3 linked regions of the Drosophila melanogaster genome follow. The protein of the gene in region 1 interacts with the protein of each later gene in a pairwise test. Each region holds a gene or a part of one and is shown in the gene's direction. Other genes may lie near its edges.

What was found.
Region 2: the proteins of Trmt61 (region 1) and Trmt6 interact in a two-hybrid assay, tested with the Drosophila melanogaster proteins (one large-scale study listed by BioGRID).
Region 3: the proteins of Trmt61 (region 1) and Tmlh interact in a two-hybrid assay, tested with the Drosophila melanogaster proteins (one large-scale study listed by BioGRID).

What each region holds. Positions count from the first base shown.
Region 1 is NT_033777.3:26,057,552-26,061,793, forward strand, and holds Trmt61 (tRNA methyltransferase 61), read left to right. Parts: upstream 1-1,944; 5' UTR 1,945-2,028; coding exon 2,029-2,197; intron 2,198-2,251; coding exon 2,252-2,710; intron 2,711-3,385; coding exon 3,386-3,711; 3' UTR 3,712-3,742; downstream 3,743-4,242. Other genes in the region: PIG-P (phosphatidylinositol glycan anchor biosynthesis class P), read right to left, coding at 1-272; Tcs6 (Threonyl-carbamoyl synthesis 6), read right to left, coding at 238-538, 602-636; RpL34a (ribosomal protein L34a), read right to left, coding at 943-1,366, 1,429-1,493; CG14551 (uncharacterized protein), read right to left, coding at 3,761-4,097.
Region 2 is NT_033779.5:6,558,926-6,563,537, reverse strand, and holds Trmt6 (tRNA methyltransferase 6 non-catalytic subunit), read left to right. Parts: upstream 1-1,877; 5' UTR 1,878-1,970; coding exon 1,971-2,961; intron 2,962-3,021; coding exon 3,022-3,365; 3' UTR 3,366-3,486; coding exon of another isoform or gene 3,487-3,770; 3' UTR 3,771-3,826; coding exon of another isoform or gene 3,827-4,007; 3' UTR 4,008-4,112; downstream 4,113-4,612. Other genes in the region: Ent2 (equilibrative nucleoside transporter 2), read right to left, coding at 1-841; COX5BL (cytochrome c oxidase subunit 5B-like), read right to left, coding at 3,487-3,770, 3,827-4,007; COX5B (cytochrome c oxidase subunit 5B), read right to left, coding at 4,493-4,599.
Region 3 is NT_033777.3:20,406,073-20,409,540, reverse strand, and holds Tmlh (trimethyllysine hydroxylase), read left to right. Parts: upstream 1-1,669; 5' UTR 1,670-1,717; coding exon 1,718-1,907; intron 1,908-1,966; coding exon 1,967-2,871; 3' UTR 2,872-2,926; downstream 2,927-3,468. Other genes in the region: eIF3g2 (eukaryotic translation initiation factor 3 subunit g2), read right to left, coding at 393-1,214.

The sequences.
Region 1 (4,242 bases):
GGATCCACCACCGAGGCAATGGAATCAACATCCACTGTCATCGATAGATTTATGGCAGGATAGATGAGGAAGGCAAAGAACCAGGCGAAGACCAGCACCAGAAAAGGCACAAATACGGCAAAATACTTGTCCGGCAGATACGAGTGCAGACCAAACTCCACTGGCAGCAGCGCCCAAGTCACGTATACGAGGAAGAGGACCGTGAACAGCATATAGAAGGCGAAACCATAGACCGCCCTATGGGGAGTCGGAGCTGGAGTGTGTTCCGGCATTGTCGTTGCTCTCGGGGATTAGTTTCTCTTTCTTGGAGTCTCCGAACTGGTTGATGGTGTCCTGGCACAGGAGCAGGCACTCAAAGAAGGAGGTGATGGCAGTGCGCAGGCTCTTCACTTGATCCGACTGAAAGTGCACAACCAGAACATCGTTCTCCAGGCTCAAAGTTTTTTTCACGAAATTCCGGCGCGGCTCCTGGTCGACACCGAGGACTTTGTAGGCGATCTCGGCCAATCGTGGCGTCTCAAACGGCACTCTTATTATGCTAATGAGGCGAATATTTATTACTAAATTTATGTTTATTTCTTTGTTAAATGGTTAAACTTACGATTCATTTGGTTTATTTGCAATTTGTGGCATCATAAAAGTTTTAACCAATCTGAAATGCTCACATGTCAACGGAGAAAGTTAATGACAATTTATGAAGAAGAAGCATTCACCGGCTGTTTATCTCGTGAACAGCTGATTGAAGAATTCAAATGTTTAAAAATGAGCATTCTTCATAATCACATTTATGTTTTAAATTAAGCGCTTGTTAAGTTTTTGAAGTTAATAACAATGGGAAATAAGCTGTCAATTAAAACGTTAATTTCTTCAATTTGTGGTTTCTTTATTACAAAAAAAAGGTGTTCAATATCATTGCTCCAAACAAATCCTTCTGGTAAATGGTTACTTCTTGGACTTGACGACTCCTTTAGGAGCGCCCTTGGGAGCGGGCTTCTTGCCGGCGACTTTGGCACCTGGCTTTCCGGCTGCCTTTCCCGCGGGCTTCTTGGCGGCAGCCTTCACCGGCTTCTTCTCCACAACCTTCTTGACGGGCTTGACCAAAGCCTCGCGCTGGCTCTTCAGAGCCTTGACGATCTTCTGCTCTTCGATGAGGAAAGCGCGGACGATTCTCTCTCGCAGGCAGCTGTGGCACAGGACACCTCCGTAGGTCCTGGAGACGGTCTTCAAACGCTTGGACATCCTGGGACGCTCGCTGGGCCGGGAGGGGGTGATCCCGTGGAGTTTCTCCTTGCACTGACCACAGCGTGGCACAGTGGGGTTCTTCTTCACGTACTGGTACACCAGACGGCCTCCGGGAGTGCGCACACTGTAAACAAATGGAAAATCCTTAGTTATCGTGGGATATACAGCATATCTCCTGCTACTCACATGCGCCTCTTGTTGGAGCGGGTGTTGTACGACAGACGTCGTCTCAGAGTCAAGCGTTGGACCATTTTAAAGCTTCTGAATCCAATTGACCACCCGGAATAAACACCATTTCCAAGGAATTCATGGAAAAAAACAGAACAAAGACGAAACATCAGAAGTGCGTTGCCACTACATGGTAGTCTAGTTTTGCATCGCAATTAACGTCACTAAAGCGCTTTTTGCAATCAAAATAATCATTACAATTAAAACACAAACCTCTCCGGAAATCAAAAGAAGGAAGAAGAGAAGCTAGAGCTGGAAGAAAAATTGATGATATTAATTGCTATCGATAATTTCAAAACATTTATCTCGAACACATTTAACTGACACAATATATATTATTTAGTACCAAAACCAGTTGTTTATTCGTTCTACTAAACTTTTTAGTATGTAAACTTCCAAAAAGTACAAATATGCATTATTGGACTTTGTGTAGCCCTGACCCGCCACTTTACTTAAACTTATCGATAGCCTGTTGATTACCAAACTTCCATCTCTATTGCTTAAACACGCGGCTATTTTGTAAATAAAAAAATCTTCTTACGGTTTTTAACTAAAAACATGAGTTTTCTGAAACCCAAGACCCACATAGAAAAGGGCGATGTGGTCATCCTTTATTTGAGTGTCAGTTCCATGCATGCCATCGAAGCGGTGCCCGAAATAGTGAACAAAAAGGGCGAAACAATACCGCATATTTTTCAGACCAATTATGGATCGCTAAAAGTTGAAAGTAAGTTAAAGTTATAGATTTAACGGATTCTCCTAATCCCAATTCCTATTCCAGATATCATCGGCGTGGAGTATGGTAGTAAAGTGGAGCTCTCCAAGGGCTGGGCCCATGTCCTTCAGCCGACGCCGGAACTCTGGACACAAACACTGCCCCACCGCACACAGATTATTTACACGCCGGATATTAGTATGATTATCCACCAGCTGGAGGTCCGACCCGGTGCCGTGGTGGTTGAGTCGGGCACGGGATCGGGGTCTCTATCGCATTACTTTCTAAGAGCACTGAAACCCACTGGCCACCTGCACACCTTCGATTTCCACGAAGCTCGAGCGGATCAGGCACGCGACGAGTTCCGGCGACATGGTATCGCTGACTTCGTCACCGTCTATCACCGGGACGTTTGCAATCTGGGCTTTGGTGCGGAACTGGACGGAAAGGCCGATGCGGTCTTCTTGGATCTGCCCGCGCCCGATCTCGCTGTGCCGCACGCCTTCAAGGCGTTGAAGCTGTCCGGTGAGTGGCCAACATCGCGTTGACAACTAGTTGTCAGCGCCCTTTTGCGGGCAATCCGGCAATCAGGCGGATATGTTGGGTTAACTGGGATGACCAGGTACATTCACATACATGCAATAAATCGTCGAAATTGGTACACTAAGTTGTACCTAGGAGACAACTTTGTTTAGACAGCTTAAATTTTAGTTATAGTAAAATAACTTAACAAAAACTTACTTCCATTTTAAAAAGAAAAAAGGGCTTAAGTGTACCTAATTGGATAAAAGGTACCTCAATGCTTTCTATATTGCAACACTGTCGGTAGGTCAGTCAGTTATCCATCCAAAGAGCCAAAGATCCAGTCAGCTAGTCAGTCCGGCTGCCATTTCACTGTGTTTGACATTGAATGAGCCCGCTTTTGACACTTGATGCGGCCAAGGCAGGCTGACCGGGCGAGTTTGTCATTAGGCGGATGGGAGCTTCCAATGTACAGCAGGTTTGCACCAAACCTAGGGTGCTACTGTATTGGAGGCACAAATAAATTGTCAGGCATATCCAATACCAAAAGAGTTAGGGAAAGCTTGCCCACCAATATATTTAAATTTTAAGAAGCTATAATGTAGTAATTACAATTGAGGTCGAGCAGAAAAGGCACCAAAAATGTATAACCGGATTTCCCATTCTCTTTCTTTCCAGGAGGTCGTTTCTGTTCGTTTTCGCCCTGCATTGAGCAGTCGCAGCGCTGCATCCAAGAGCTAACCAAGCTGGGCTTCAACGAGATTGTTTCCTTGGAGGTGCTGCAGCAGGAGAACGTGGTGAAGACGCGCACGCTGCCCGTCATCGATCTTGAGTTCCTTAAATTGCCCAAAACCGATGAGACGACGGCGGCAACAAATGCCTTGGAGAGCAAGGCGCCAAAGGAGGTGAAGAAGTACCTGACCTCCAGTAATCCCCAAACCCTGCCCGGTCACACGGGCTTCCTCACCTTCGCCACTTTGCCACCAAATATACCCAAGGCCTGATGAATAAACTTGAATTTACTTTTATTTGACCCACGAACCACGATCTACATCATTCGTCGTAGGAGTAAGAGTAGGAGAATTCCTCGAAGTACTTGCGTTCGCTGGTCTTTACAGATCCGCAGTGGTAGCATCGATGCGGCTTTACTTGCTCCTGGGTCTTCCGGTTCCAGGACTTTCTCTCGGGCGCCCAAGGAGTTCGCTGCTCGGGTATGGCCACCTCGGTGCGCTCCGGATTGCCGCTGCAGGTGGGACACCGACCCACAACCGCCGGTTTGGGCAGCATGCCATAGATAAGTGGTCCCGGCGGTTGTTTTCCGTAAATGGTGACCACTTCCGGGAGGCTGGAGTACGGACGGGTGGCAAAAAGCTTCTCGCGGTTAAGAAAACTAAAATAATCAGGTGAGAAGATGTTACATGGGGAATTACAAAAAAAAAAAACAAATGCATATTACTTTGATCAATAGGTTATTAAATCTGTTGCTAATTTGAACTATAATTATGTTGCTAGGGTGAAAAATAAAGGAGAAATGA
Region 2 (4,612 bases), on another chromosome or scaffold:
GCACGTTCAGCTGGGCCTTAGAATCAGATTTCTTTTCGCTGCTCCGGCTAATGGTCTCGTAGTGCCGGAAGAACTTGTTCAGCGGCAGCGCAAAGTACGTGTCGAAGCAGAGCAGCAGCACTAGGATGGCGGTCACGAAGTAGTAGATGGCCGAAGTCCTCTTGGACGAGAAGATCTCACCGCATATCAAGGCCATGGCGGTGGTGAAGCAGCCGCTGATGTTGGAGCCCAGGACGACGGCGCCTGTGTACTTGATGGGCAACGATGCCACTATTCCGTATATGGTGTTCTGGTAGATGCCGTTGCACACGTTTAACAACACAATGCACACCATGGTGGTCCAGAAGAAGACGCCCGGCCACTGCGAGGAGTCGAGCATGGCCAAAATAATGGTAACCAGCAGAATGACCATTTCGAAGATGATGCTGTAGACGATTCGGGTGGTCAGGTCGCCGCCAAAGTTGACAAAGATGTTCAGCCAGTTGAAGACCAGGTTAGGAATCTGCGAGGCAAAGCCCATATTTTGCATGAAATGGGTGCGGTAACTCACTTCCGTGGCCACGGTGTTGTTTGGTCCGAACTTGAAGTCCTCGAAATAGGACTTGGCCGTGATGAACATGTTCCATGGCATCAGCGTGCCCACGCCGTGCAGCAGGAATATAAAGAACACGATAAGGAATTTATCTTTTGGCGCTGGCAGGCCCAGTTTCGCCAACACCGACGTTGATCCCTTGCCGTTGGAATCATGGGGCGGCAACTTGGATTCCCACGAGGGATTTAACGTCACCGGCGCCTGCTGTTTGCCAATAAAAGGCGACTTCTCCGATTTAGCCTCCGCCATATCTGCGCGACTTCTGTTCTGCTCTGGCTCGGATTTCTTTCTGGTTCTGCTGATGCGGGCGACAGCAGTTATTGGGGCGTGTGCTTGAGGCGTTTGCTTGAAACCCGAAAACTTGCGCGGTCAGTTATTTTCGCGGTGGCCACAAAACCGGTAGGAGGGCGGGAAGGTTTGATTTTCCCTGCGCCTGCGACAGCACTCTGATTTCGGGATTAGGGTATATCCTCGTGGCGGGGGGTTCGCCTGGAACTAGTGGTCACGTGGAGACGCAACTGCAGTGCCCGAAGAGCGCTGATTACAACACAGATCCAATCAAAGGTTAAAACCGCACCGCACTACAAGATTATCGCCGCGTTGTATCAGCTGTACTCGATCGAACGGCGTTGCCACACCGTTGAAAATTATGATTTATGGGCGTCGATACAAGCGATTTGAGGGGTGCCGTTACGCATGGGCGCAGTCCTTCCCTTCCGTAATCGCCAAGAGGGACCGTAAGTATGGGCAGTAAATAATGTATTTTTGGCAATGATTATTACTTAGTCATAGTAATTCAAGGTATTTACTCACACTTTCACCATCCCTGTTAGCTACACCCATGTTCAACTTAAGCATTCATAGCAACCAACTCTACTTATTAAAGCACAACAGCAAACAGCCACTTATCTCAAAAATGGGTAATGTATGTACATATTTGTTGTATATTATTTTTGTGTATATTTTAACTAGGAGTATTGATATTGTGCTTGAATGTTCTAATTGCATGATCAAAAATTAATTAGTTAAAGTAAATGAAATTTTTGGTATAAGTACTCATGGTTATTTCTTAATTAGAATTGTGAAACATTTGGCCAAGCAACAGGTAATGGAGCTGCCAGATCAGTCAAATATCAATCCAAATATTCTTGTTTGCATAAATGAATTTGTATTGCCAAATTAAGAAAATAATTTGTTGTTAATTATAGCTCTTTATTTAAAATTTCGTTACTAATCACATGCAACAGGTGACTAGATTACCAGATTTTGTCCGTTTTCCAGCACTGAATTTCTCTTCCTCTTCTCTATAGAATTTGCGGCTTTCGTTTGTTTTCGACAAACACGTTGTTTATAAGAATTATAACATAGAGTTGCAACCATGGCCACCGAAGAGGACATCCCCAGAATCCAATTGGGCGACTACATCGTCATCCAGCGGCAGAAATATACGAAGCTACAAAAATTCGGCAGTCTGGACACCACGGCCACATTGGGCAAAGAAACACTGGAGCTGAAGTCTCTTTTGGACCAACCCTATGGCTCCACGTTCAAGATGTGCGTCAAAGAGACAAAGCCGGGTAAAAGGGGCGCCCAGAGACAACACACCTTGGAGCTGTGCAGCGAGACTGAGCTGAGAAGCACGCGAGAGGTTCTGGGCATCTCCAGCAGTGGAGCGGATAATCGGGACATCCGGGATGATGGAGAAGCGCAGACCCTGAAACCAGAGGACATTGCGCAGCTGCGTGAGGAGTGCAACGACTCCAGCAAAATCATCGAGAAGCTGGTGGAGAATTCTAAGACTTTCCACAACCGAACGGAGTACTCCCAAGAGAAGTACCTGCTAAAGAAGGAGAAAAAGTATTTCGAGTTCGTTCAAATCCGCCAGCCAACGATCCGTCTGATGCTGGACATCTTCTACCGCCAAGACTCGGAAAAGGTCATGGGCATTCGCGTTGACACTTTATCGCAAATTATTTCTTACTCGGGCGTTTGTGGATTCGGCAGCTATCTGCTGTACGAGAGTGGTACCAATGGTCTACTGCCGGCTGCCATGCTCAACTCTATAGGCGCAGGCACGGAGGGCACCCTGGTGCACATGCACCCGGGCAATGTGCCCCAGAAGCAGGCGCTCTCAGCTCTGAAACTACCCCTGGAGCAGCAACAGCGATGTGTTTCCGTTAATCTCTATTCCGTTTTAAGGGAGTTTTACCAAGGAGGGGACGCGAAGGCCACAGATATTCCCGTTGTGGAGCCCAGTGAAAACGAACCTCAGGAAACCCAGCTGGAGACGCCAACGGAGGAACAACCTGAGGCGATAGAACCGACCACAAAGAAACCCAAGCTGGATGAGTCAAATAGTGGTAGAGAAGGTATTGGTCACAATAGTAAACTAATCAAGACAAGTACAAATACTATTTCTGTTGTTATAGGAGCAAAGGGACCTCCGCGCTGGCATTTGGAAAACAAGCGGGCCACGGCCCTGATGCACGCCGAATTCGACAGTCTGGTGGTGGCCGCCAAGGAGCACCCATCCAACATTCTGCAAGCCCTGCTGCCTCTTGTGAAACCCTCAAGACCCGTGGTGGTATTCAGCACCTGCAAGGAGCTGTTACAAGAGACATTCATGGAGCTGAAAACAACAGGCAAGGTGACGGGTCTGCACTTGACCTCGAACTGGCTGCGCACCTACCAGATCCTGCCCAATCGCACACATCCGGAAGTGAATATGAGCGGAAATAGTGGCTACCTTTTGACGGGCTATACGCTTAGATAGTTGTTGTGCGTCTAACAAATACATGTAAGCCTTTGTTTTGATAATATCATGCAATGTTTAATGCCAGCTGAGGATCATGCCAAGTGTGTTCGTGTTAAGTACAGCGCTCTGTGTGATCGATCTAAACGGGTGGGACATTCTTGAGGATGAAGTAGTGGCCGCACTCGCACCGCTTCGGTCCCTCGTCCTTCTCAATCCACATCCACTTGGGCAAGCGGTCATCCAGGCACAGACAGCCTACGAGGCGTGCATCGAACGCCGATGGCACGACGGTGGGGTCGTTCTCCCTTCCCGATCCGCGCCTGATCACCTTGCTGAAACCCCAAGGGTCCTCGCAGCCCTGCTTGGCCAGCAGCATTTCGCGCTTCTGAATCCCGGTGACCAGTTGATCGTCCGCAATTAGCGCTAATCGGGCATGAGACCTGAACTGGAGATCTTTGCAAGCTGCAACCACTACTTACCTGACTTTTGCACCTGAGTTGTGGATATGGGACGCTGTTGAGGAGCAGCGGCTGATCCTTGCCACTGTAAACCTAGTCGTCGAAGCAAAGAGCTTAGCTTTCCGTCGCGCTGGGTTAAATTGGAGATCAGACGTTTGGAGGCGGACTGAGCCTTAAGTAGACGCGAAATGTAGGACGACATTTTTAAAGGAGTTTATCTAGAAAATTATGGTTATCACACGAGAATTTCCCACTTTGAGTGAGTTGAATCTGATCAAAGGGTTTTGAAAATGTTTGATTTCTTATTAAGACGCCTACTGCCTTATTAAAATTAAATTAGTTCTGCGATTTTAAACATTTTTAAACGAAATTCAACTTTCTTCTGTCTTTAGACAAGCTTTTTTAAAATAAATCCTTTGATTTTCACTCAAAATCTCTTCTTTAGACTTTATTGTTCGCTTTTTGTGTTAATTAAGCAATTTTCCTCGGCTGCGTTCGAAAACACGTTTGCAGATCTGAAAATGGAAGCTGTGCCGCCCTTTCACTCCTCTCTGTTCACAGTTTCGTTTTTTTTTTTTTTTTTGGGTTGATGTTTGTTTATTTGGACAGCTAAGTGGGTTGACTTTTAGCTTAGTAGTTGTTGTGTTTTTGTTATTAATTGGTTTATTGAATTAATTAATAATAACTTTAAACAGCTGCCTTCTCCACCAGCTTGAACCAATGGCCGCACTCACAACGTTTCTGGTTGCCCTTCTGCAGCCACATCCATTGCACGTAGGTCTGATCCTCTTCGCCTGGTTTGGAATG
Region 3 (3,468 bases), 5.7 Mb from region 1:
AAAACGGAGCATTATCGGCTTTAGTTCGCTCAAGGCGAGCTTTCTCTTTTATGCACTTAAAAAAAGCATCCACCTTGGATGTCCAAGGGTATATCAACTCGAAAATTGAGTGGTCCCAAATGAACCAGACTGTTTTTAACAATTTTCATATCTATCTCAATTCATATCCTTTGCTCAACTGAAAGATGAAAAAATCTACTACGAAACATTAATAAATAGATTTTATATTATTATTAATATATTCTCTGTAATTATCGAATGTGTGCAAATTAAAAATAAAAGTGGTCGCATATTTTGCAGGGTGTACCAGAATTTTATTTTGATTTCACTGCCACCGCAGCTCATTTCCGTTCTCGAATAAGCAGAGAAGCGAATACACAAGGCTATAGCCATTACGGCTGAGGCTTGGACCACTCGACGCAGAGGATCAAGTGGTCGTAGCCGTGGCCATTAAGAACCTCAATGGCGGCAGCTGCATCCTGGCGGAACTTGAAGTGCACGTAGGCGAATCCCTTGCAGAGGCCGCTGTTTTTTTCGCGCGCCAAATACATCTTGGTGTGTGGTCCGATTTTCTTTACCAGCTCCTCGAGATCAGTCTCGGTCATGGATTCGGATAGGTTTGAGATGCGAACTGCCGACGAATCGTCCCGATCCCGACCCCGTCCCCAATTTTTGCTGCCAGATATGCCTCCGCCGTCCTTCATGAAGGGTGGTACATATTTTCCGGTCTTGCTGGGATCACTTATAGCGGCAGCTGCAGCGGCATTGGCCTTGGTTTCCATCACGGTTTTGCTATCCATCGAGGTGCCCTTGTAGGGACAATTGACACTCCAGTGTTCGCCATTGCAAATGCGGCACTTGGCGATGTTCTTGCCGGGATCAAGTTGGGTTTCGTGGGTCTGGTCGAAATCTTTGGAGCCGATGAATTGCATAAAGATCTCCTCGGAGGCCATTGTCGTCTGGGAATTGGGTCCGGGCTTGTCCGATCGCGAATCCCCAAACTTAACCCAGTTGCGACGACGAGCCACAGCCTTCGGAACAATCTGCTTCTCGATCTTGAAGGTTCGCACCACTTTCACCTTCTTGCCATCATCGTTGAACTTATACTCCGTCACGTACTTGAAGTCGCCCTTAATGTACTCATTAGAAGGCGGCAGTCCATCCACATAGTCCGCATCCACCTCATCGGCCCAGGAAGTAACGAAAGTCTTCATTTTTTATGATTTCCCACACAACCGGTACAAAATGAATTAAAAACTTAGAGATCTCTAGTTTTAGAGAGAGTTTTTCCATTTGAATTTTACTTGGCCTGTTGAGATGGGAAAAAATCCCTTTCAATAAAAGATATTTGAAATTAATATTTATATTTTCTTTAAAGTAATGATTTTTTAATAAAAAATACAACAACTTGAGTAGCAATTCACTAAGATAACTTTGCAACAAAAACATACCATTCAATCAATCTTGATTAAATTATAAATTTTTTTACTTTCATGAGTTGTTCTTAATAATTACATATTGTCTTTAAATTCAATAAATTTATTAATCTTATAGTTATTCCGTAAACAAATAAGTTCTTATCTCTGACTTGAGCATGAAAGTAATCGCTCTCCTACTGATAACAGTACAATTAAAACCGAGCTGAAACTTAATCAAACTTTGAGCTGTTAGTTCACTTTCACTGCTCTAGTCCGTCGGTTGTTCTATTGGCATTAACATGTTGCTTTTGAAGCACCCGAAAACCAGCCAATCAATAGAAATCAATGAGTTTTGGCTCCGTGATCATTGTCGATGTGTGGAGTGTCTAAATTTCGAAACAAATCAGAGGCGATACGATGTCTTAGATCTACCAGCTGATATAATGCCACTAGATGTCAAATACGACGGGATGAATCTACAAGTGCAGTGTAAGAAAAAATTGATGTAAAATGCACCTAGCTTCGATTTTATTGGCCTGCCATTTTAGGGAGTGATGCTCACAAGTCGAACTATGACCTGGACTTTATCTTCGACTCACAGCTGGAGAGGTTGATAGGTCGGCGATCAAAGTCCACTAATCTGACACCATGGAATCGTAGCATTATCTTGCAAAACGAACGGCACTTACGATTCCCATTGCCCCAGCTGGTTTCCAGTGATAACGAAGTCAGATCCCTGGTTGAATCTCTGGTGCGTTATGGCATTGTCTTTATCGATGATGTGGCTCCCACCGCGAATATGACAGAATTGGCTCTGCGACGAGTTTTCCCCCTTATGAAAACGTTCTTTGGCGAAATGTGGACTTTTAGCGATAACCCCGATCACGCGGACACCGCTTATACCAAACTTTACCTGGGTTCCCATACGGATAATACCTATTTCTGCGATGCAGCCGGACTACAGGCTCTACATTGCATTGAGCACTCGGGATCGGGTGGCGAAAATTTCTTTGTTGATGGTCTGCATGTGGTTCACGAACTGAAACGCCGGTATCCCGCCGCTTATGATGTACTGTGCAGTGTCCAAGTTCCTGGAGAGTACATCGAAAAAGGGGAGCACCACTACCACACTGCCCCCATTATACAGGTGGATCCACTGACTCAGGAATTTGTTCAACTCAGACTAAATGTATATGATCGCGCCGTGTTTAATACCATCCCTCAAGCCGAAATGGCCGAGTTCTATGACAGTCTTCGCCAGCTTTTGCTAATCGTCAGGGATAAGCAACAGCAGTGGGCTCTCAAGCTATGTCCCGGCAGCATTGTTCTTTTCGATAACTGGAGAGTGCTCCATGGTCGAGAGGCATACACAGGAAGTCGTACCATGTCCGGTTCCTATGTGCAGCGCACAGATTTTCTCAGCAAGGCTCGAGTGCTGGGAATTATTGACTGAAAGCTTATTGAAAAATACCTAATGTATACCGAATTAAAACCTTTTATGAACTAAGAAATTATGATTTATTTTCTATACTTTCTAGTGCTCCGCATATTCCTTCAGCAATCATTTATGTATTATATGGTCCGTACCGACTTTTATACTTTTTGCAATGGGAAAGTTTCATGCGGATAACTTTAACACTGAGAGATTATTTTGTGGATAGAAGAACATTTAACATTGATCAATAATATATATACTTTACATGTTCGTAGCTGACTCCTTCACTTCGATGCAAGATACTGGCTTAAATCAACATCCTTTCTGCATATATATAAGTTTGCTTTTGATTGCTCAAATAAGAACATATTTTAAATTCGGTTCATATATCAGGAATAGCATACATTGTTAAAGAATCGTTGCGTATAGAAAAAAACACGCAAATTGTTCAAGCATATTTTTCTTTTTTCTGAACCGAGTCCCACTCCAATTCAATTTCGATTGCAAATGCTAACGTATCATAATAAAAAGTTACGATTACAATTGCTGGCCAGCGTCTAATTTTTGTCATAGGGGAGTGGATCGCATACAGAAAACCAGCAACAAAAATCATTT